Bombyx mori: one gene and its partner. The protein of the gene in region 1 interacts with the protein of each later gene in a pairwise test. Links are inferred from orthologs where the notes say so. Each region holds a gene or a part of one and is shown on either strand. Other genes may lie near its edges. The genes, in order: CD2-associated protein and Jnk.

Region 1 (11,928 bases):
CGAATAAACGTTTTTAACATCCATAAGTTTTGACCGTCTCGGTGGTGCACGCGTCGTGGATTCGATTCCCAAATCGGGCAAACATTGTGTGATTAACAGGTTTGTTTGCTATTTGTCTGGGTGTTTATTAACTAGTTACCTATGTATATATTTAAACGTATATAAATATGTTTGTCAATCTCTGATACCCATAACACAGTGAATCCTAAATTGGAGCCGGATGATTTTTGATGCGTGATTTTTTGTCTCCGTTATGATTATTATTATTACGATCGGTCGTGAGTAAACATAAACGTGTTTGCCTTCTTTTGATTGTAGCCAGAGTTCATTCGCGCGACTCCCAAGAAAATTCATTGGCATAATTGCGAGATAACTTAGTTAATACGCAATTATAACATAGATTTGATTGCATTTAGCGGTAGGCAGCGGCTTGGGTCTGCCCCTGGCATTGCAAAGTCTATTGGCGACGGTAACCACTCACCATCCGTATGGCCGTATGGTCGTCTACCCACAAGAGCAATAAAAAAATAATTAAAAAAAAACAATTAAGTGTGTCGCGCGGTACTTTGAAGGAATAAAAGCCTGTTGTTTTGTGTGACCCAAGTTCAAGAACAAATAAAAAAATCCAGATCGCGTTCCTGGAATATTGAATTGTAAATACAGTCCCTTATATCAGATAAAACAAGCAATGAATTAGCATAACATAGTTACATAATTCGGAATCAAGTTATTTACAATTACTATAACAAGAGCCTGGCAGGATATTTGTTGTAATTGTCCAGGAGGGCTCAGCAAAGGAAAACATAAAAAGAAAGCTACAAAGAATCCTAAGCTCTATCTATATCATTTCCAGTAAAATTTCCATTCATCTAACATATTTACAAAAGAGAACCATAACATCATTCACTCCGAATTTTTTTTTTGTTTAGAACCGTGTAAACAGTTTGGCCTCTCTATTACTGTCAGACCAAAACGCTACTGCCTTCGGTACTTAAAATTATTTTTTTGGTGTCGGTACAAAACGTATATCTGAGTAATCTCTGGGTTTTATAGGCTCCTATCTTTGAAACGGCGGGGTCGCTCTACGGAAGTCGTACTGCGACGCTGATTATAAAAGTATCTCCGCGGGAACAGAAAACTAAACGCGACGAGGGGGGTGTGATGACGCGACTTCCTCCAATTACCGTCTCGGCATCGCGAACATTGATGATCACACCCGGATTCGTATGAGCCAATAAATATGTCGAGTTCACTTTTCTAATATTCCTTTGCGTGATACGTGGCGTTGCGTTGCCCATATGAAATAACCTATCAACAATAAGATACGTAACGTTGCAGTTCAAAGCAGGTATATTTGAAGTATATTCTCTTATAGGATTTGATATTTATAATTATTATTATATCGAAGGGTAAAAGGCTATTTGGTATAAGCGACATTTCGCTTAATACGCGACATTTATCTTGGTAATTAAAGCTACATTTGCATAAAAAGTTCCACGTTTTTGATTGAGCTTCAATTAATTTTTCGCCATTCAAATAGCTGAAGAAGCTTTTTTGTTATGATATTTTTTCCAAATTTTAAACTCTCCTGTAAAGTTGCAAAAATGTCGCTTAAACCACCAAGCCCTCGATATGCACCTAAATATTTTTTTTCTATCACAGTTCGTGGTACACTATAGAACTGAGACTTAGAATTGGTGTCTCAAAGTAGATGGCAGTGTTTACATTACTGATGAACTCCGGTAACCATTTAACACCAGGTGGGATATTAGCTAGTCTATCTACTTAAGCAAACATTGAAAAAAAAAATAGTAGGTGGGTGGCGCATTTACGTCGTAGATGTTTATGGGTTCCAGTAACCACTTAACACCAAGTGGGCTATGAGCTCGTCCACCCATTTAAGAATTTTTTATTTTTTTTTATCGTAGACGATAGTTATTTTATATAATGTTCACCAAATTGCTCAGGCGCATTGTTAATAGTGAAAACTAGTATGTGATTTTTTTGTTATAAGTACCTATAATCTATATTGTGTGAACGTATTGTATTGTTTGTTTCCTAAACAAATAAAAGTAAAGGATAAAGAGGCCCAGAGCTTTCTGATTGATTCAATTAATTTGTGAGTTAGCTCGCTTCATGCGCTCAATGAAAGGAGATTGAATTAAATCAAGAACATAAGTGATTCAACGTTAACAATTCAATTTTATTATTGCACTTCATTGAACGCGACTCTTCTTTATACAATGTGTATAGTATATATATGTACCTTCTACCGTTGTTTCAAAATAATTATTTAACACTAAACCTACCACTACCGGTCAAATGCACTTTTGCAACTTTTGTTATATTTATATATATACTAGAGGTCCCGCAGTAGTCGAAATTCGACTATAATTAATTGGGATTGTAAGTTTATACACTATTATGATTGTATTTTATACTTCTATAATCACAAATTTCGCCAAGACTACACTATAAAAAAAATTAACAAAGGCAATATTTAATCTATTCTCAATTTGACAACAGACGCCAAAAACAAAAGTTTGACAATAAATAGTATGCATGCGTGTGTGCGTCAAATACACGGTCTATAGTGTGTGTAATGTTTTCTTTATTGATTTAATGTATCTTTTATGCATTATTTAAAAAAAATATTAGCATTGTGCACTTCTTCTCTATATTCTCTGTAAGTGTGGAAAATTTCATACTCCTCCGTCCGCGCAATTTTCGTAAAAAGGGATACAAAGTTTTTGCTTCACGTATTAATATATAGATTTAAATGCTGAAATACCGTTATCAAAATATAAGAGAATTCTTAGAGCATACATATAAAACTACACTTCAAATTATTATTTTTTCTTTTACATATAAACACAATCATGAAAATACAATAAATAAAATCGAATACTTTTTTAATAACCAGTCAATTTAACCAAGCGCGATAGAATACAAGAACTGTCGGTAAGTTTAGTGTTAAAGCTTCAATAAGAACTCACACGTGTTTAATTAATACATTAATAATGCTGAATTATACCGACTTACTGTTTCATTCAAAACATCATATTCAAAACATATTCGAATTAATATTTAATTTAAACACCAAAAACAATTGATATCTCAAAAGCACTGTACTCCGAGACGCCGTAACCATAAATAATCATAGATCAAAAACAATTTTCAAGTATTGAACGCTGTTCCGAATGTTCCGAAAGTGAAATGTAAGGTCATTGTCATGAGCGACACATGTACAGGCGGGAAGAGCGCTTACGTTACTGTTCTTACGTACTAGTTTCGCGTGATTTACACCATTGTATGGCCCTCAATACGTTATGTGCATCGTTTAAACCGGTGTCGGACACCTTACGTCATTTTTATTTATGTGTATTTGATCAGCAAATGGAATGCTCCTTAGATATACTACGCAATAAGACGTACGATGAAAGAGTAGATTCAAAAATGTGATTGCGTCAACTTACCTGGCTTCGGTGGGAGCGCTGGAGCGAGTTCGAAGGGTGCCGGCTGCGGTGGGTCGAGCATCACAACAAAGTTAGACGGAAACACACCCACGCGACCCTGGCGTCGACCTTGCCACCAGCCCTCCTCTACCTGAATGACAGACACACAGTCATGCGAACACCCATATTGAACATGGTACTCATAGGCAGTGGTTTGGCTTTATCCCTGGCATTCACCACTCATAATCCGTTGGTACGTAAGATCACCATTTGAATGTACAGGTGAACGAGCTCATGGTCCACCTGATGTTATTTTTTGATATATTTTTTGATGATATTACGAAGCCCATAGACATTACTCTGCAAATGCCACCAATCACCTTGATACACAAGGTCTAAGCCTCAATTGTAAGGCCTACCTTCGAAACCGGAACACAATACTATTTCGCGGCGGAAAAAGCAGGGTGACCGTAGCATACCCTTTTTTTTTTTTTTTTTTAACGCTGGGGAATCCATTTACGGATACCCGGTCCGGGGGGTAACGAACCGGGTTATGTCGGACTCCGGCGCCTCCTGAGAGGAAGAGGGGGACGAGAAGGTCCTCCACCTCCCCGAATCCCTCGCAAGAGACTACGCCTTGAAAAAGGCGCGCGAAGCACTTGCCCCGCAGAACGACTACCGACTAAACCCCATCGAGCTCCACCACACCGGCTACACCAGACCTACGGTACCGCAGTGCGCGCCGAAAGTCCGCCTTCGCCGGTACCCGTCCTGATGATAAGACGGGATTTCATCTCCGGGAAAATCCCGAAGGACGTCATTTCGGGAGATACACCGTGAGCGGCGCACAGGAGCCACCTTGCACCGCCCCACCACCGGACCGACAGTCGAGTACCGGGCGCCCCCGCACCCGCCACCTGACAGTCCCTACGGGGGCTGAGCGGGAGCTTCACGCCCGCGCCGGCCATCCCGCCTTCTGCGCTGAGGTGCTGAAGAGGGATCCCACTCCCTTTCACGCTCCTCAGCCTCACGGGACGCCATTACCAGGTCACAAAACCTGGCCATGGCCTCCCACGAGCCCTGATCCTCTAACATGCGGGCGACGACAGCCCGCAGGGAGAGGTTTCTCCCCAGCACCGCGACGAGATCTCGCCGCGAGTGCTCCCAACGCGGGCACGTTTCGAGCGCGTGCTGCGCGTCATCGTCCGGGTGCCCGCACTGGTGGCAGCCCGGATGTGGCTCTCTCCTGCAGACCTTCCACAGGTACCTCCCGAAACAGCCATGTCCCGAGAGGACCTGCGCAAGGTGAAAGGAGAGTACGCCGTGACGCCGATCCGACCATGCCTCCAGCACGGGCACCAGGGCCTCGAGGGTGCACCGTAGCATACCCTGCGGACTCACAGGACGCCCTTCCAGCATCACTTTTTTACAGCTACCTTTCGAAAGCAAAAATCTTGAGCTCTCAACGTAGGTGATAATGATAAAAATTAAATCGGAAATGATTTGAAAAATACTTTTTAACAACTGAATTAATTCAGTCAGTAATTCCGTATAGTTTGTTATGTAAAATTGTATATAGTCCATACCTCTCCTAGAACTTCAAGCACGTCGCCGACGCAGAGTTCCAATTCATCCGGATTGACTGGTTGATAGCTGTACAGAGCCCGACACCGCCCTTGCACGCCCGTTGATCTAACAGAAACGGACAACTTGAATTACGTACAAAAGATATATTGCCACCACCCAAAAATATTTAGTTACGTTTTGTTTTTTTTTTGTTACTTAGGTGTATGGACGAACGAGCTCATGACCAACCTGGTGTTAACTGGTTACCAGAGCCTATATATATACATCAGCGCAAATGCCGCTACCTACCTTGAGATATGAGTTCTTAGGTCTCAGTTTTTACAGTACAACGGTTGGCCCACCCTTCAAAAATCTTAGGTCTCAGTTTTTACAGTACAACGGTTGGCCCACCCTTCAAAAATGATTTATGTTACGTCGAAAAATTCAAGCACCTTATCATCATCGGATAGTTAATTATGCGTTGAAATTCTTAAGGAAGTTGAACATCGACAAATATCTAAAAAGTTGCCTTTTGTAAGAGACACTTTTAGAAAACCCGATGACGCCGATGATGCAACTTTAACACACTGGCTTTTATGTCGTTTTCATTTCTTACTCACACATCGACTAAACTAACTATAATAAATGCATTATCATTCATTCGTTCCTGCGCAGATCTAAGTTTAAACAGTAGTATTCAAATAAACATTCAAACTCCTTGTCGCGGAACGAATAAGTGCTACACAAGATCTACTGGATCTTAAAGAAAATGTTTAAAATAAAAAGTTTAAATCGTAATTTGGTTAATCAGGTCAATATTTGCGACATAAAACGACGCTGGCCCAGTTAAGATAAAACAATGCTCACATCGAACGCATTTGGAAGACAAAGTCTTTAGGAATGGATATTTGGGCCGTCAAACCGATTACTGTTGGCACACTTGTTTGCCGTGCAGACTACTCTGCCTGAGCGAAGGAAAACCTGACAGGTTTTTTTTATTGCTTAAATGGGTGGACGAGCTCACAGCCCACCTGGTGTTAAGTGGTTACTGGAGCCCATAGACATCTACAACGTAAATGCGCCAGCCATCTTGAGTTATCAGTATAGTTACAACGGCTGCCCCATCCTTCAAACCGAAACGCATTACTGCTTCACGACAGAAATAGGTGGGGCGGTGGTACCTACCCGTGCGGACTCACAAGAGGTCCTACCACCAGTAATTACGCAAATTATAATTTTGCGGGTCTGATTTTTATTACAGGTAAAGTTAGGTAAAGTTCAAGAAAGATCTCGTCATGAAACCAATGAGTTTGAAAATTCACTTGGCTTTAATAAGACTTTAGGATGCACATTAGCGTACTTATCTTCTTGATTCGAGATGACGATAGCGAAAGTCACAAGAAATTAATGTTTCGATTTAATTTATAGAAATTTAATGAATTACAAATGTAAGTAAATTGAAACGCTTCGGTGCGTCATAATGGTCGTTACTTTTGCGCGATTGTGTTCTTGTTAACTGTAAATGACACAATTTTTTTTTAATCGGAAACTATGACATTTCGCTTCAGATAACATCTGCGCATTTTAACTTTTAAAGTGTCAATTGAATTTTTATTAGCATACATATAATAATAATATGTAGTTTCCTCCTGTAATGTAAATGTAATTAAATGTAATTAATATAATTATATTAAATGTAATAAATATGTTAAATGTAATCTATATAATATATAAAAATGAATTGCTGTTCGTTAGTCTCGCTAAAACTCAGGAACGGCTGTACCGATTTGGCTAATTTTGGTCTTGAATTATTTGTGGAAGTCCAGAGAAGGTTTAAAAGTTAAACAAATATGAAAATGCTCGGAATTAAATCAAAATAACAATTTTGTTTTTCCTTTGATGTGTCCCCCGTCGGACGCGTTCCTTTTGTTTGTTTTAAGTTTATTTTGTGCAAAAGTTTAGTTCTTTTATTTATCGATTATGACACTACGAAGTCTGCCGGGTCAGCTAGTTATATAATAATGTAAACGTAATTCCTCACACTGAGCCATAAGAATGTGATTTCTTAATTGGTTTAGACTAGTTTAGAGTAACAACTGTCCATCCTAAAATTGAAAAAATGCTTTCAAATAAAAATATGAAAGACGATATATCTACCCATTTGGGCTTTGAATGGGGCGTATTCTAGTTATACCAATAAGATATTCATATACTTTTTTTTCTAACATGCCTGTCGTTTCTCGTTTTATAGTAATTTCAAAAAATTATTATTAATTATTTGTACAAAATATTTTCAATTGTTTTGTTCCATAATTAATTATGAATATTTTTATAACGCACATATTTATGTACTGAACTGACTAACTCCAGATAAGACGATAGCTCATATTAACAAGTACATTATTTTTATTTATTAACTTTACAATTCACTGGAGCATTTCATTTCAGAATTATTAATTATTATTGTTTAACATAAGCCCCAAAATTTTGGAGATATAATGATATGTGCGAATACTAATTTAATATATCACTATCAATATAATCAAACAATTAAAGCAATCTACTCAGTTATTGAATCAAGAATTAAATGTTCATTCACATTTACAATTAAAAATGCGATCATTTTTGATCAAAGAGTTTCAACATCATCCTTCTTGGCTAAACAGCAAGGTTTCTGCGCAAACCGCGATCCTATCATCCCTAAAAATATTCAAGATGACAACCATTGTATCTTTAATTCATATTTTTGTTCAATAGAAAATACTCTTACCTCCAGAATCTGAAGGAGCCGCGTGTTTTTACTATTTTCTTCCAAACCATATGACACGTTTTACACTGTAGTATAACACAGTATGTATTTACTAAGGGTCACACAAACACAAAGTAAAGCGAGCAACGCGTGTTATCGTCTTATCCGGACTGATTAGATAGTGCGTATAACCATTATTATTCCAGTAAGTAATCAAAAAAAAAAAAATTTTAAACGGAAATCTGTTTCAAATAATATTCATAATTTGAAATTCAACCTGTTGCATACGGCAGCTGAGCGACTTTCGCCGAGTGGGGCCGTTGCTTTCGACCACGAAACCGGATGTCAACAGAAATTTCAATTTAATAATAATATTATGCTGTTTATAATAAGTTACGCGGTCCCGTTTCAACTATCGAAGACATGATCAAGCTCGTTTCTCATGACATATCGTGTTTTCGTGTCGAAACATTACGTGTCTACTATGTTTATGGATGATTCTGATGTCTATTTTTTTTATTACTTTCATTGTTTTATATCATGTACAAAAATGATAAAATTGTTATTTAAATTGAAAACGATTAAATACTACATATTATTCTGTTAAAGGCATCGAAATTAGTTACATTAATTAATTGATAAGAAAAGTACGCCTCCACTTTAATGATGGGTGCGTAGTTTAATGAACGTCTCGCTGTTTCTCTCGCTCGTCCGCATTTTAATGACAGTGACGTCGTAAAGCGCATGTGCATGCTATTTGTGCTATTTGATTATTTTTTAAGGGATTTTATGACCTGGTAACTAAGACCTTTAGATCATGTCTTATTTTAATTTATATTCTTATTTTTATGAAAAATAATATGTAATATGGAGTGAAATGAAATGAAATGAAGATGATTAATTTGAGACATAAATCAACTGGGATGAAATTAAATGAAATGAGATGAGATGATATGGGATGAAATTTAATCTCAGTAAAATGGTAAATGACCACCATTGATATTTTTTCAGTGGACTTTTTGGAGGATCCCGAGAAGATACGTCCAGCGTTCTGTGCTATTTGACAACAATAATTACCACAGATTCACGAAAAAATACGACGAAAAGATCAGTCTGAATAGAATTTATAAGCCAAATTATGTTGACATATTCAGCAAAACCTGAATTTTCAGGTTAATTTTATTATAAATTCCAATTTTTAATTTTAACTACATTGTATTTTTTTCTATTTGCTATGAATTATAATTTTAGTATTAAACCCTTTTTATTTTAGTATTGTATTACTAATTTGTCATAATATTAGGTTGTGGAAAAAGTTTCTTCGCATTTTTTAAGAAAATTCACAACATTTTTTAATATAGTTTATTTACATTTAACTAAAGTATGTAGGTACCATTTTGTTCGATAGCTTTTTGCCATCTTGTAGGTAGGGACATGATCCCATTGCTATAGAAATTTTGGGGCTTCTGATCAAAATACCGCGACAATTGGTTTTGGCAGTTATCTCGTGATGTTAACCTGATACTGCGTAAATAATTCTGAAGAGACTGAAACAGGTGGAAATCTGAAGGTGCAAGGTCAGGACTATACAGCGAATGCATTAAGACCTCCCAGCCAAGCTCTCTTAATTTTTGCTGAGTGGCTAAAGATGTGTGAGGCCTAGCGTTATCATGATGAAAAACCACACCGCTTCTGTTGATTAATTCCAGCCGCTTTCAACTTCTTTATTTAATCTCATCAGTTGTTCGCAGTAGAGTTCAGAATCGATAGTCCTGCCTGGTGGTAACAGCTCATAATGATTAATACCCTTCCAATCCCACCACACACATAGCATCCCCTCGTTGCGATTTAACCCGGGTTTCCCCAGTCTGTGAAGCTTGACCGGCCTTTGACCACGACCTTTTCGCACGTTCTTGTCGTACGTGATCCACTTTTCATCACCAGTTATCAGCTTCTTCAAAAATGGTTCGGTTTCATTACGTCGTAATAAAGAATCACAAATGAGTACACGGTTCATTAGGTTTCTTTCAGTGAGCTCGTGAGATACCCAGATATCGATTTTTTTGTGTACCCAGTTTTTTCAAATGCGCCAAAACTGTTTTGTTGTCAATTCCCAGTTCTTCAGCTACGTCGTAACTACTGATAAACCCATTTTGCTCCACTTTTTCAAAAATGGCATCCATTTTATCCGTAACAGGGCGACCAGAGTGACGTGCATCTTTGACATCAAAATTTCCGGATTGAAAACAATTTGTGCTACTCTCACAGACACTGCACTAAGTCCATAAACATCGCAATTTTTTTCGCGGCTTGCGTTGCATGTTTACCTTTTTTGTAGTCAAATTTTAAAATGTATCGAATTTCTTCATTAGATTCACTCATCTTGACAGTACGATAAATAAATTAGAATCACATCTTTTCTTAATTTGAATTTGAAATTATCTTCTTTAAAATTTAAGCTTTTAATGATACCAAAACCAGCCAGATACAAATAGTATAGCCAAAGAGATTTTATTACAAGTTCATACATAGTATAATGCGAAAGACTTTTTCCCCAACCTATTATTTTATGTTATTCCTGGGTTTTCCGATAGGTAAAATAAATGAACAATTGAAATTTAATATGACGAAGTGATATTTATTCTATTGATTATTCGCTTAGCATCCGGCGGAACAGAAAATCCATAAAATACGAGGTTTTATGTCGATCGTGCCTCATCTTTATTATTGTTTTTAATGTTAGAAGCGTTCCATAGTTTGAGTTTCGTATATAATCATATTTGAAATAAAATTAATGGTATTATCAGAAAGAAGAAGAAAGGCATACGATGCCAATTAAAAAACAGTCTGGTGCAAACTTGTTGAGCACAAAAAATATTGGCGCTAAAACAAACTATATAATTTCGAAATGGCCAGTTACTACTATTATCCGCTATATTAGCTATTTATTCTAAGAGACAAACTTGAACGCTACAAAATATTTCAAAAATGTGTCAAATAAAAAGATTACATTCGTAAAAATCATAGCGACCAGTTCAAACAATTACAAAACTTAATATGTGTGTCAGTGAACTAGAAACATCCGACACACGTTTTTTTTTATATTGTGTCGGAATCCAAACCAGTTTCATGGGTGTTCAAAGCCTGGAGCAGATTACAATATGTGTCAAAACTTTAAAGACATCTTAGCTGTTTAGTTTATCTATGCTTTACAAACCTCATTAACATAATTGAACTTTAACATAGTGTATGATAGTTATCATAAATATACATTAATGTCTTGAAATTTTCCTTCCAAAATGCTTTCGCCGTATATCAAAACGCTTAGAAAAATGTTTAACATACATTTTTACTGTTCTAAATCAACGATCGTTAAAACTGCTTCTTATGTTTAAAAGTCAACTAACCTCGTAGTAGCATGTTCGTTTAGAAGAGAAACGAAGTTGTCCGGGAACATGCCGCGGTTTCCACGTAACTCGCCTCGCCACCAGCCCCCGGGCAATCTCTCAACGTCGCGTATCACGTCCCCCGGTCTGATCGTCAGCTCGTCCGCTTCTGATGCATCATACGCGAAGTTAACGGTGCAAGACACTGCGAAAGACATCAAATGTTTCATTATTATTTTTACACATCTTGTCTTTTGCCCTAAGTACGCTTACTTACACAAAGCGATAAGTAGCAATGCAATGAATTGTGATTAAATGCGACATAAAACTACACGCTACATTTAACTCTTATTTGACTAAGGGCTCTAGCACATCAACGAAACTGCCGATGGTTAACGCCTGACGTCAAAGATTACTGATTTTATTCATAGACGACGAGTACACACACTCACGGTCCAGCTATTGTTAATCGATTACTGGACCAATAGATATCACAACGCGAATGCCACCACCCATCATAAGGAATGTGGTCTAAGCCTTAAGCTGTCGCTGTCTTGAATTTTAAATGATACCCATCTGTGCAGGTTCGCTTGCCTTCTTTCCATCAGTAAACTAATAATATATATGTAAAATCAAATTCAAAAGAGACAGTTATGAAAATTACCAGCAATGACATTTTGAGGGCAAAAAAATGACAACCATTACCGGCAGTTGTTTTCCTCTACCCAACGCAAAGTTTTTTTTTTTTTTTTTTTTTTTTATAGCTTAGGTG
Region 2 (11,621 bases), on another chromosome or scaffold:
AGTGGCTTGGCTCTGCCCCCGGCATTGCTGAAGGCTATGGGCGACGGTAACCACTCACAATCGGGTGGGCCATGTGCTCGTCTGCCTACAAGGGCATTAAAAAAAATACCCGCTACTTTTCAAAGTTCTTATCCCAATTTCCTCCTGTAAAGTGGTAGGAAGTATGCCTACAAGGGCATTAAAAAAAACCTCTACTTTTCAAAGTTCTTATCCCATTTCCTCCTCTAAAGTGGTAGGGAGTATGCCTACAAGGGCATTAAAAAAAAACCTCTACTTTTCAAAGTTCTTATCCCAATTTCCTCCTCTAAAGTGGTAGGGAGTATTGTCGACCGGCACGGACATGATGGCGTCATCTCCGTCTTACCTATCTCTATCGCGTGCGTTCTATTTTGTAATGAGATTCTTTAAATCGAATTATAAACAACGGTGGGTTGTATAATCACTTCATTCTTTAGTAGCATGCATGCAATGTAATAAGTTTAAGAATAGGCAAATTCTTATGTGTATTTTACTTAATAATTCGCAATTTTTATACAGCACGCTATCACTCTTGCACGATCCAGCACGATACATATTCACAATCTGGCATTTTGTTTTAAAATATTCACATTATTAGATTTTCGATAGAGTTTAATGATAGTTTTTTTTTTATAAATATTAGTTTTATCTACATTATGAAGGGGCATGATTTTACGTACTATATATTTGTGTATTTATTATTTGTATTGTTTCATCCAAAAATGTTGACAGCTCTCTCTATTCTCTATGGTCTTTTGTAAACACTTAAGACCAGATGGTTCGAGAGTTCTTTCATTCGTCTATGCTGTGCCATTGAGAACTTGCAATTTAATTGTGAACAACAAACATAAAACGTTAATAATTAAAGACCCGAAGCTATCATTACACACCAACATTACGCTTAGAAATCAAATATCTTTAAAAAGGGGTGCTAATTCTGAAAAAGAAGCAACAACATCCATAATCATTCAGCCAGAACACTGTCACACACGCGCATGAAGAAAATAAACATGCAATTTCTTTTGTAGCTGATCGAGTATAATAGCGGTAAGATGATACAGTATTACTCAGTGACGGTCGGTGATGCGGTGTTTACTATCCCGACCCGGTACACTGAGCTGGTGGTCAGAGGCGCGGGCGCCCAGGGCATGGTGTGGTAAGCCGCGCCAATACAATGGTCAATCAAACTCCCGCTTCAAGCTTTTGGGACTAATCTGTACTAATTTAAAATTCCCGCGTTAACCAAGCGATGTCCGTATGTGAAACTTTTGCGTGCAACGGATTTATTTTTGTATTTTTGTGATTTTATTGGTATTAAAATGTTGTTCTTAAGAAATTCGATGGTGGACGAAATTCACGATTGGTGTCCATTGTTTCGGTTTATTGGATGGCTGATTAATAATGTTGAAAAAGGATCGTTCTGGAATAAAGCTAACGAGTGAGTGTGATGTTTAATTCCCGCTCTTGTCACTTTTTTCAAAATGGCCGTTTTCTGTTTTTGATTTTTTTTGATTGACATACGAGTTTTCAGTATTGCACATTTATCATCTGTATCATAAATAGTATTAAAACATCGTTTTGATTTTTATGTATTGAACAGGTAAATTTTTGGTACTACATACTTTCGTCATTACATTAATATGCATGGCTTTATCTTAATAATTTTCAAACTGCGTTTTTTTTAATAGCCGGTTTTTTAATAGGTTTATTTATAAATATTGTATTTATTATTATTAATAAGTTTATTACTCTAATTCTTTATGTTCATGTGTGTGTATAAACAGGTAAATTATTCACTAAAAAACCATAAACAATTCTTAACTCATTACGGCGGCAATTAAAATAAACTATTGGTATTTGATTTTTCGTTTAAATGAACTTTACCACAACCTTTTTCACTCCGCTCCACGCTGAAGAAGAAACTGAATTTATAATATGAAATGATTGCTCATCGATTTCTAAGTGTTAATAAAAAATTAATAAAATTTAAAGCTAAACTGTTTGATTTTGTATTCCAGTGCCGCATACGACACGGTGACGCAACAGAATGTTGCCATAAAGAAGTTGTCGCGTCCGTTTCAGAACGTGACGCACGCGAAAAGAGCTTACAGGGAGTTCAAACTTATGAAACTTGTCAACCATAAAAATGTAAGCTTGGTTATTTTTTATTTGCCTAAAAAGGTGGTCGGCAACCCGCGGCCCTTTGATACAACAGCTATGACTCTTTCGCGAAATATTTAGTGTAGGCACAAAATATTGCTTACTATCTTGCCTTGTAAAGAGTAAAATTTTTTTAAACAAAAGGCTATAGAAATATATCGAGGGGTGAAAGAACATTTGGTTTTAGCGAAATTTCGCTTAATACGCGAAATTTATTTTCGTAATTAAAGGTGCTTTTTATTTGGTATTAACGTTGATTATTATTATTGTTCGACGTTTTAATTGAACTTCAATTAAGTTTACTCCATTCAAAGAGTTGAAGAAGTTTTTTTTTCGTAATATATTTTTCAAAATGATAACCTTTTAATGGCTCTCTTGTAAAGTTCAAAAAATTTCGCTTAAACCAAATAACCCTTCACCCCTCGATAATATGTTCTAAAAAATGGCACCTTAAATAAAATCCAATTACGTGCTATCTATATTTGGCTTCTGCTTGTCGACCCCTGGCCTAAGAGATTCTTGTCAACGACTTGACAATGCAGCCGGCATTTAAATTGCAGTTCTTCCATGGCAATAAAGGAATTGCTAGCATGACAATAGAGGTTCAGTATTTAAATTTAATGATGTGCCGTTGTTTGTAGATAATCGGATTGCTAAACGCGTTCACGCCGCAGAAAAGCCTCGAGGAATTCCAAGACGTGTATCTGGTTATGGAGCTGATGGACGCTAATCTGTGCCAAGTCAGTCCTGTATAATTAATTAATTTATTTATTTGTTTATTTATTAGGCTCACAATACATGTCACAAGCTAAAAAGATACATAAAAGACATAAGTAAAACGATAGTAAGTAAGTAAAATTATACGATAAAACAACACGATAACGAAAACTAATCTAACTTATAATGTAAGGATATAATTTTATTCACAATATACAAATAAACAATCATGTTTTTAATAAACTAAAATAACGTTTATAAAGAACCATTTCAAAATATTTTCCATTGTATGCATTGATTTACAAATGTAATTTTTTTTTTTGTTTTTTTTTTTTAAATGTCCTACTTTTTTTGAGAAATATTTTGGCTATTTTTGTAAATTGTATTGAAACAAGTTCGGCACTAAAAGCGTTAAAATGCTAATTGCAGGTGATTCAGATGGATCTGGATCACGAACGGATGAGCTATCTGCTGTACCAGATGCTGTGCGGCATCAAACACTTGCACCTCGCCGGAATCATTCATCGGGTTCGTATTTTAAGGGAAAAAAATACCTTTTGGCTGGCAACACTCAGTCTCAGGATTTTCGAACATTAACAAAGATATCTTAAAAACGTGTTCTTAGATATATATTTTTTGAGAGTGTTTTACGGCTCTGGATGCGAATCCTTATGAGCCCATGTGTTCTTAGAAAATTAACAAAGTTGCTCACCTAAAATGCCTATCTACCATGTTAGTAGCTTTTTATAAAGTTAAATAAAGTTAAGTTTTATAAAGTTTTTATAAGTTACTACACTTTCGAAGCTATTAACTATTTATACTAAATTAAAAATGCATATTTAAAATAAAACATAAAATATAAACAAGACAAACAAACAAGAGTATCGTTTACTGAACTGTGACGTCGCTGAAATAAAACTAGAGCAATTTTTTTATCATTCTACTTTGTAATGTCATTTGATTGATACTACAGAAACATTTTTTTTTTTTTCAATGGTAATTTTTAACCATTATAACTTACAGTAGGTACGCCTATAAAACGAATTATCGTAAATATGTAATTGTTTGACATAATTTATTGTAAATAATTCATAATAAAGCTATTTTTACTAACGAGCCAATGAAATCGAGTATTTCAAGTTAATATTGGATTCGTTTCGCGATCAGGATCTGAAGCCGTCCAACATAGTGGTGAAGAGCGACTGCACGCTGAAGATCCTGGACTTCGGGCTGGCTCGCACCGCCGGGACCACCTTCATGATGACGCCCTACGTCGTCACGCGCTACTACCGCGCGCCGGAGGTGGGACCATACACACCTCGCTTCACTCTAACACCAAAACATTTATTCATCATCATCATTCTTCTGCCCTTCTGAGAGAGAGAGAGAGAGAGAGATAGAGAGAGAGGGGGAGAGGGAGAGAGAGGGGGAGATGGAGAGAGAGGGGGAGATGGAGAGATAGATAGAGAGAGAGAGAGAGAGAGAGTAATTCACATTAAATTTTAAAAACTAGGCTACACACAATTTTTCATTGGTGGTTACTGGAGCCCATAGACATCTACAACGTAAATGCGCCACCCACCTTGAGATATAAGTTCTAACGTCTCAGTATAGTTACAACGGCTGCCCCACCCTTCAAACCGAAACGCATTACTGCTTAACGGCAGAAATAGGCGAAGTGGTGGTACCTACCCGTGCGGACTCACAATACGTCCTACCACCAGTAATTATGCAAATTATAATTTTGCGGGTTTGATTTTTATTACACGATGTTATTCCTTCACCGTGGAAGTCAATCGTGAACATTTGTTGAGTACGTATTTCATTAGAAAAGTTGGTACCCGCCAGCGGGATTCGAACATCGTTGCATCGCTCAACACGAACGCACCGGACGTCTTATCCCTTAGGCGACGACTACAAGGATATAACAATATAACTATGGAACCCTAAAAGCTTTATTGTCGGCGCGTTTCAGGTGATCTTGGGTATGGGCTACACCGAGAACGTGGACATCTGGTCCGTGGGCTGCATCATGGGGGAGATGATCCGCGGCGGCGTGCTGTTCCCCGGCACCGACCACATCGACCAGTGGAACAAGATCATCGGTACGGTGACGCTGGTCTCTTATAACTAATGCACAGGTTCCCTGATTGCTTTTGAACGATTTGCCTTTCATCACCATCGTCGTCTCAGCCTGTCCACTATCCACTTCTGAATATAGGTCCCTTCAATTGATGTCCAGTCCGGTCGGTCTGTTGCTACTGAAGTGGCAGTAGGCAGGCCATATATCAGACGGAGGTTAGGATATAAAGAGATTCCCTTTGATTAGAGGGAGACAAAGAGATTTCCTTTTAGATGAGAATAATTCCAACACACCGCAGCTTAAAATAATAATAAAAAAATGTGTTTTGTAAACTAACTATCTATAATAATTTTCACTGAAAATTGAAGGTAGTTTCTCGCATCATACGAAAACGTCGGGTATTCCCCCCGTGCGTCATCTGATTCTAAACTGTATTACATTGCGTGTTAAAATATTAGTCAAATATAACACTTGAGTCGTTCGTTTGGTTGTAATTTTAAAACAGTAACAGGTTTATCAAGAAAAGCTGAACAATGATCCTATCTTCAACGTAATCATACAAACTTACCAGAGATATATTAGTTTGAAAGCGTATACTCGTATAGCGTAAGCGTATGCTTCTTCTGTGTGCTTAGTGAGAGTTTTTTAACGTTCTCGATAGCGTAAAAGTTAGCTCATATTTGTATGAAATGGGATCGTTTGCGTACGTTTGCCGCTAGGGGCGCTGTTCCAATTGCATACAAAATTAGGTTAACTTTTACGCTATCGAAAACGTTAAGAAACTCACACTAAGCACACTGTCTATAAGGGCAATAAAAAAAATCTAATCAAATCAATACTGTGCCTTGTTCCGGCCTCTCCCGCTGGTAGCTGACCGTCTCTGACATGGGCACGCCTCTGTAATAACAGTTGTTATTGTACACCAGAGCAACTGGGCACGCCGTCGGCCGCGTTCATGTCCCGGCTGCAGCCCACGGTCCGCAACTACGTCGAGAACAGACCGCGCTACTCCGGGTACAGCTTCGAGCGGCTCTTCCCGGACATACTGTTCCCCAGCGACAGCAACGAGCACAACCGACTCAAGGTAACGCCGCGCCGGTCCGACTGCGCCGTGACGTCACCGATGTCGACGCCGTACTGACGAGCTCCCCCTTCCCCCCTCCCCCAGGCGTCGCAGGCCCGCGACCTGTTGTCGCGCATGCTGGTCATCGACCCCGAGCGCCGCATCTCAGTGGACGACGCCCTGCTGCATCCCTACATCAACGTGTGGTACGACGAGGTAGAGGTCAACGCGGTGAGTACCACACTCTGACACTGACATTGACTCTGACCCTGACACTGACACTGGCCACGCACTGCGCCGGCCCGTAGCAGCCACGCTCTCTGGAAACGTCCGCACGAGTATGTACCACAGTCTTGCCTATTTCTACCGCGTTCCTGTTTGAAGGGCGGGACATCCTTCCATTAGATGTCCGTGGGATCCTAACTGTCAAGAACTTGATACCAAGTGAGTCGGTGTGCCCGACTTGGAAGTAGGAGGGTCTGAGGTAGCCAAGCTCAGATGCATGTGTATTTTCAAACTATTTTGGTATTAGCATAAGGCAATAAAACAATGAAAAACTGAGCGGTGTTTTTGTTCAGCCCGCACCGGCCTCATACGACCACTCGGTGGACGAACGCGAGCACACCGTGGAGCAGTGGAAGCAGCTCATCTACCAGGAGGTGGTCGAGTACTCCGCGCCGCCCCACCCCCCGCCCCCGCACCCCCCGCCCGCCGACCACGCGCAGCCCGCACTCACCACGTAGGCACCGCCCCCTCCCTCACGTAGCCAGGAAGGAACACTACTCACCCTCTGCGCATAGGGTATTATACACTCAAAATCTATAACCCTATGTGAAAACGATGTGAATTTATAAACCGTAACACAAAATAGAGTGGTACCTTGTATGAATAACCCGTGATTGTTTTTGGAGATACTATTTGACACAATCTCATAAGGATCCTTCGAGAAAGTCTGGAATTAAAAATCGGGAAAAATATGCCTTTTGTAGAATTGGTCGAAGTTAAAGAAATTCCGAGGGGATCCCTCGAGGACATACGTTCCTGGCTGCGCTGGGTCACAGTCGACTCCCCCCCCAGCGTCCCCCGCGTCCCCCCGCTTGTTGTTTCAAATCCGTTATCGCCCCGTTACGTAGTTTCTTCCCGTTCTTATGACGTATTATATTCATAGCATAAGTTTTATTATTTAGTGTGAAGGCTACAATGCGCTTTTTATCGTTTTTCAAAAGCTCTGTTTGTCCCCCTCCCTCCCCCTCCCTCTCCGTCACAGTTGAGTTCTCGTTCGTAATTACCACTCGAGTAATAATTTCCACTGCGGAGTGCCTTTAGCGAACCCGACGCGGCGACGACTTCAGCTTTTGTCCACTATATTTTCATACGTTTGGATATTTTTGTAATGACAACAATTTTGATAAGCTGTGAAAAATAAATGTTATATATATATTTATGGATCTTAATGCTATGCAATTGTTTATTTGAATTGATTTATTTTAAATATAAAGTACGTAATGATGTAAACTAGCTGTACGAAGTTAATGATACGGAAAGTTGAGCTTATTCTGTGTTGTTATCGAATGTAATTGAAAATTTTATTTTTATTTCTTAAATTTTTATTTTATTGTATAATTATAATTAACGTGCAATCATTATTAGTTGTTTAATGCGTTCGATATTAAGTTTATCGACTATAACTGTTGCATATCTCACCTTAAAATTCCGAAATCGATGATGAAATTAAAAAAAAAACGTTTCCCGCGTTTACCATAGAAGTGTAAATCGAGGCCATAGACAAAGGCGAGTGAGGCCGTGCGTATGTAAAACATTATTTTCTTGGTCGCGTACATACATCTTGATAGTTGGGATTTTGTGATGTTAATAGTTCTTCGGTAATTAGAGATTAGTTAGGTTGTTGATATCGTATTCACTGCGACTAGCGTAAGTACATTTTTACCTAAGTAGTTACTTATAGGAAGCCTCACACACGTCACCCTTGGATGTAGAACGGAACTGGAAACAGAGATACGTAAAACACATGAGAAAAAAAAACAGTAATATAAAATTACATACATAACGGAACTTAATTACCGTTATAAGAATAATAATAGTTTCACCAAAAAATTTGTAGCTTCATATTTGAAATCGATAAAAGTTATCTTATTTCATCATTACATCATAAATATTTATAATGAGTAAAGACAATTTAGAAGTTTCTTCAAACATTACATTACATAAACTTCTAACGCTAAATTAGTTGATAATAAACGGAAATATAACGATAAATTACTTGGCAACATTTATCTATATACACATATTTATGTATGCCTTTTATCGGAACATACAGAGCATTTAATTACTAATAAAATATTACATACGAACGCAATCCGTCTCTGTAGAATATCCAGTTGATTTGCGTGTTTAGATGGAAGACATTCGTTTAGTAATGAATGTGTGAGGTACACCGTAGTTTATCGTTTGAAACCTCATTAGGTGATATAATAAGTTTTAAGTGATAGTGATGGACGATTGTCGTGATAATATTCATGGTGTAGCACAATTTGTAGTGGATACTAATCTGGTGATGGCGTTATGGCGCCATTATGACAACAGCAATAATGATATGTGCATTCGTACGCGCGTGTGTATGTGTGTGCACGCGTCACTTCTCTACGAAACATCTATTAAACCGATTCGCTCTACTTTTGTTCTCATTTGTATTTTATAAGACTAATGTCATTCGTAACTTGTGTATGTCATAATGATTGTTGCAATTGAATGGAACAAAAGCAAAGTGAACTGTTTCTATACCTATGTATAAATACGTTTTATCTTAAATTAATATAAATAAATAATATTGACAAGTGTACGTCCAAATTGTCCATGTATTAGTTAATGTACCTAATACAATATTACATTAATGTAATCATTAGCGATATTCTAGTACATTTCGTGAAGGTATCGCCGTGCTGCGACGTGTCAGCGTCCGAAGCGACCCACTTAACAATTGGATTGATATCTGAAAATACTTATTTTTACTGTACACGTAAGTTATTTCATATTTTAACTGAATAAATCGAAATGGTTATTATAGTTGTATGTTTTATTTATTTAATACCCTTCAAAATCCATGTCAACCTTCAGTGACTTTAGAAACAATTCTTGTTGATTCACCATCGTTAAAATAGTCCTACTTCCAAGATACTGTCTCATGAATGAATGAATAAACTGAACATGGCGCTAATCAGAACTGGCTATCTTAGTAAAAAAACCTGCCAGACTGTTATTAAGTGGATATCTAACTTTTTTGTGTAACTTGTCGAAAGGCAAGCAATTGCTTAAATTCCAACAGAACAAAGAAACATCAAACGGGAACGCTTGACTGTTTTGCGGCAGAAAAAAACCAGATTATGGATATCTATTCTAATTTATTTTTCAATTCACAGTTTATAGACGGTTGATAAATGAATATTAATATTCTCTAAATCTAAGAAAATCCTAAAATTAAATGAACCAAATAATACAAACCAGTTTTTCATTTTGTTACAATATTGCCGAAAAATAATATACATACATATATCTTTTTATTTTGAGTACTTTAATTAAGATAAATAAATAAGAAAAATGATTTCTGTTTTGAATGTAAATGCATAAAAGGAAATTTAATATCTAGGTAATATTTTTTTCGTAAGACAGTGCGGGATAAGCGTTTACATTTGTTTAAAGATAAAGGTATTGAAAGTAGAGATATTGAAACCAGCTACTTAGTTAGTTTTGTTAACTAACTGTACAGCTGTTTGATGAACGAAATAAATAAGAAAAAAGGAATTCATTATATATTTTTTGAAGTAAAACTTCTTTAGGCGCGTTGAGAGTGAAATTTAACTCGCGACAGATTCGTTACGGCTAGAGAGAAAAGATACAATTTAGGAAGAGCGAGAGTAAGAAAATAGGTAGGGCGTCTTGTGAACCACTCAACCGTGGAGAGAGGGAAAGGGCAAAGCGAGTTAGGTCGTTTTTTAATTTAGTGACATCTATTGGATTTCGTTTAACTACTACATTGCAAGACCATCGGTGTGAACAGTTTAGTTTCTAAATTATTTACAGAAGGCGGTATTTTAAATAAAAGTAATTATCACTAAACATATTATTATTGTAAAACCAAAGGACTCGTTCGGTAATCATCGAATACTGGTAACAACTTCTTTCTAAGTTAATCTTATTTCTCGAGATAAATTGAAGTTTCACTTCTTTCACGTGCACCAAGTTTTATACGCGCACCAGTTTTTTGTTTGTTTCCAAGTTCTGACAACAACCATAGAGAGATATACTTTTAAATGTGTTCTGAAATGAAGATGTCAATGGCTCAGAATGGCTGACACTGACAGTTTGAATTGACTTGACAATCGTCATCAAACAACATAGATCTGTCACAATCACAGCACAAGTGTTGTTTTTATAGCATTGTTACCAAAATAAAGTATGCCAATACTATGACTAAGAAAAAGATTTTTAAACAAATCAGAAATAATTCGGTCTAAAATTAAAATAACAAATAAAACTACAAGATGTCAGAGAAAGACAAATCCAAATCGGGTGGTCAAGCTAAGCACATTCCCAAAGATGCCCAAGTCATCATGTCCATCATGAAGGAAGTAGGTATCACTGACTATGAACCGAGAGTCGTGAACCAGCTCCTAGAATTCACATACCGCTACGTTACATCAGTATTAGATGATGCAAGGATATTTGCAAACCACGCAAAAAAGAAAACTATAGATCTTGATGATGTGAGACTGTCAGCTCAAATGCAATTGGACAAGTCCTTCACGAATCCCCCGCCCCGTGAAGTGCTACTGGAGATCGCGAGGGTCAAGAATGTTAATCCTTTGCCGTTGATAAAGCCGCATTGCGGGTTAAGACTGCCTCCGGATCGGTAAGTATTGGAAAATGTAGCACACTTTAATCCTATATCTCACAGCACATTATATTAATCTTTCGTGAGTATGGACTTAGATAATTTCTTCAAAAATCAGGATTAGCTTAAATAGCTCAAGGTTCAATCACCGGACTTGAGGGAAAAATACTCCACTTTAGACCACACGTATGTAATTTGCGCACCATGAATTGATTGCAACAATATTGTGTTCACAATCAAAGTTCAGTAAAGTCTTCTTGTAAACAATATCTTTAGGTGACAGATTGTCTTATTACAATTTGTAAGTAGTTACTGATACTTCAATACTGCCTGTTACTAAGAAGTCTTCAAACCTTACTGAAATAATGTCAGAATACTCCATAAACACCAATGGTTGCATTTGGGAGCCTGGTATAATAGTAAAAATGATGAATAGAAATACACTATGGACCAATTCCGCTAACAAAGGAAATTATGGAATAATTTTGATTAATTTTGTGTGAAACATGAGATTCCCTTAACACCCAGAGCCTTTTAATATGGTTAACTTGTAAATCGCTGCATGTTTACAGAGAATATTCATTTTTCCAGTTACTGCCTGTCATCCTGTAATTACAAACTGAAACCAGCAACCAAGAAAGTGATCACAAAAACTACGATAACCCCTTCCC

What was found.
Region 2: the proteins of CD2-associated protein (region 1) and Jnk interact in a two-hybrid assay, tested with the Drosophila melanogaster proteins (2 studies listed by BioGRID). The link is inferred for Bombyx mori from reciprocal best matches to the Drosophila melanogaster genes cindr and bsk.

Annotation. Positions count from the first base shown.
Region 1 is NC_085115.1:10,598,534-10,610,461, reverse strand, and holds part of CD2-associated protein, read right to left. Parts: intron 11,362-11,928; coding exon 11,178-11,361; intron 8,274-11,177; exon of another isoform or gene 7,842-8,273; coding exon of another isoform or gene 7,792-7,841; intron 5,148-7,791; coding exon 5,042-5,147; intron 3,607-5,041; coding exon 3,477-3,606; intron 1-3,476.
Region 2 is NC_085109.1:1,358,479-1,370,099, reverse strand, and holds the end of Jnk (c-Jun NH2-terminal kinase), read left to right. Parts: intron 1-1,046; coding exon of another isoform or gene 1,047-1,174; intron 1,175-2,036; coding exon 2,037-2,166; intron 2,167-2,819; coding exon 2,820-2,918; intron 2,919-3,324; coding exon 3,325-3,423; intron 3,424-4,062; coding exon 4,063-4,197; intron 4,198-4,870; coding exon 4,871-5,000; intron 5,001-5,904; coding exon 5,905-6,062; intron 6,063-6,146; coding exon 6,147-6,272; intron 6,273-6,619; coding exon 6,620-6,784; 3' UTR 6,785-9,125; downstream 9,126-11,621. Other genes in the region: transcription initiation factor TFIID subunit 9, read left to right, coding at 10,601-10,968, 11,542-11,621. UniProt on the Drosophila melanogaster protein: Mitogen-activated protein kinase and key component of the c-Jun N-terminal kinase (JNK) pathway which phosphorylate and activate transcription factors involved in a wide range of biological processes including response to various stresses, cellular proliferation, differentiation and migration, and regulation of cell shape.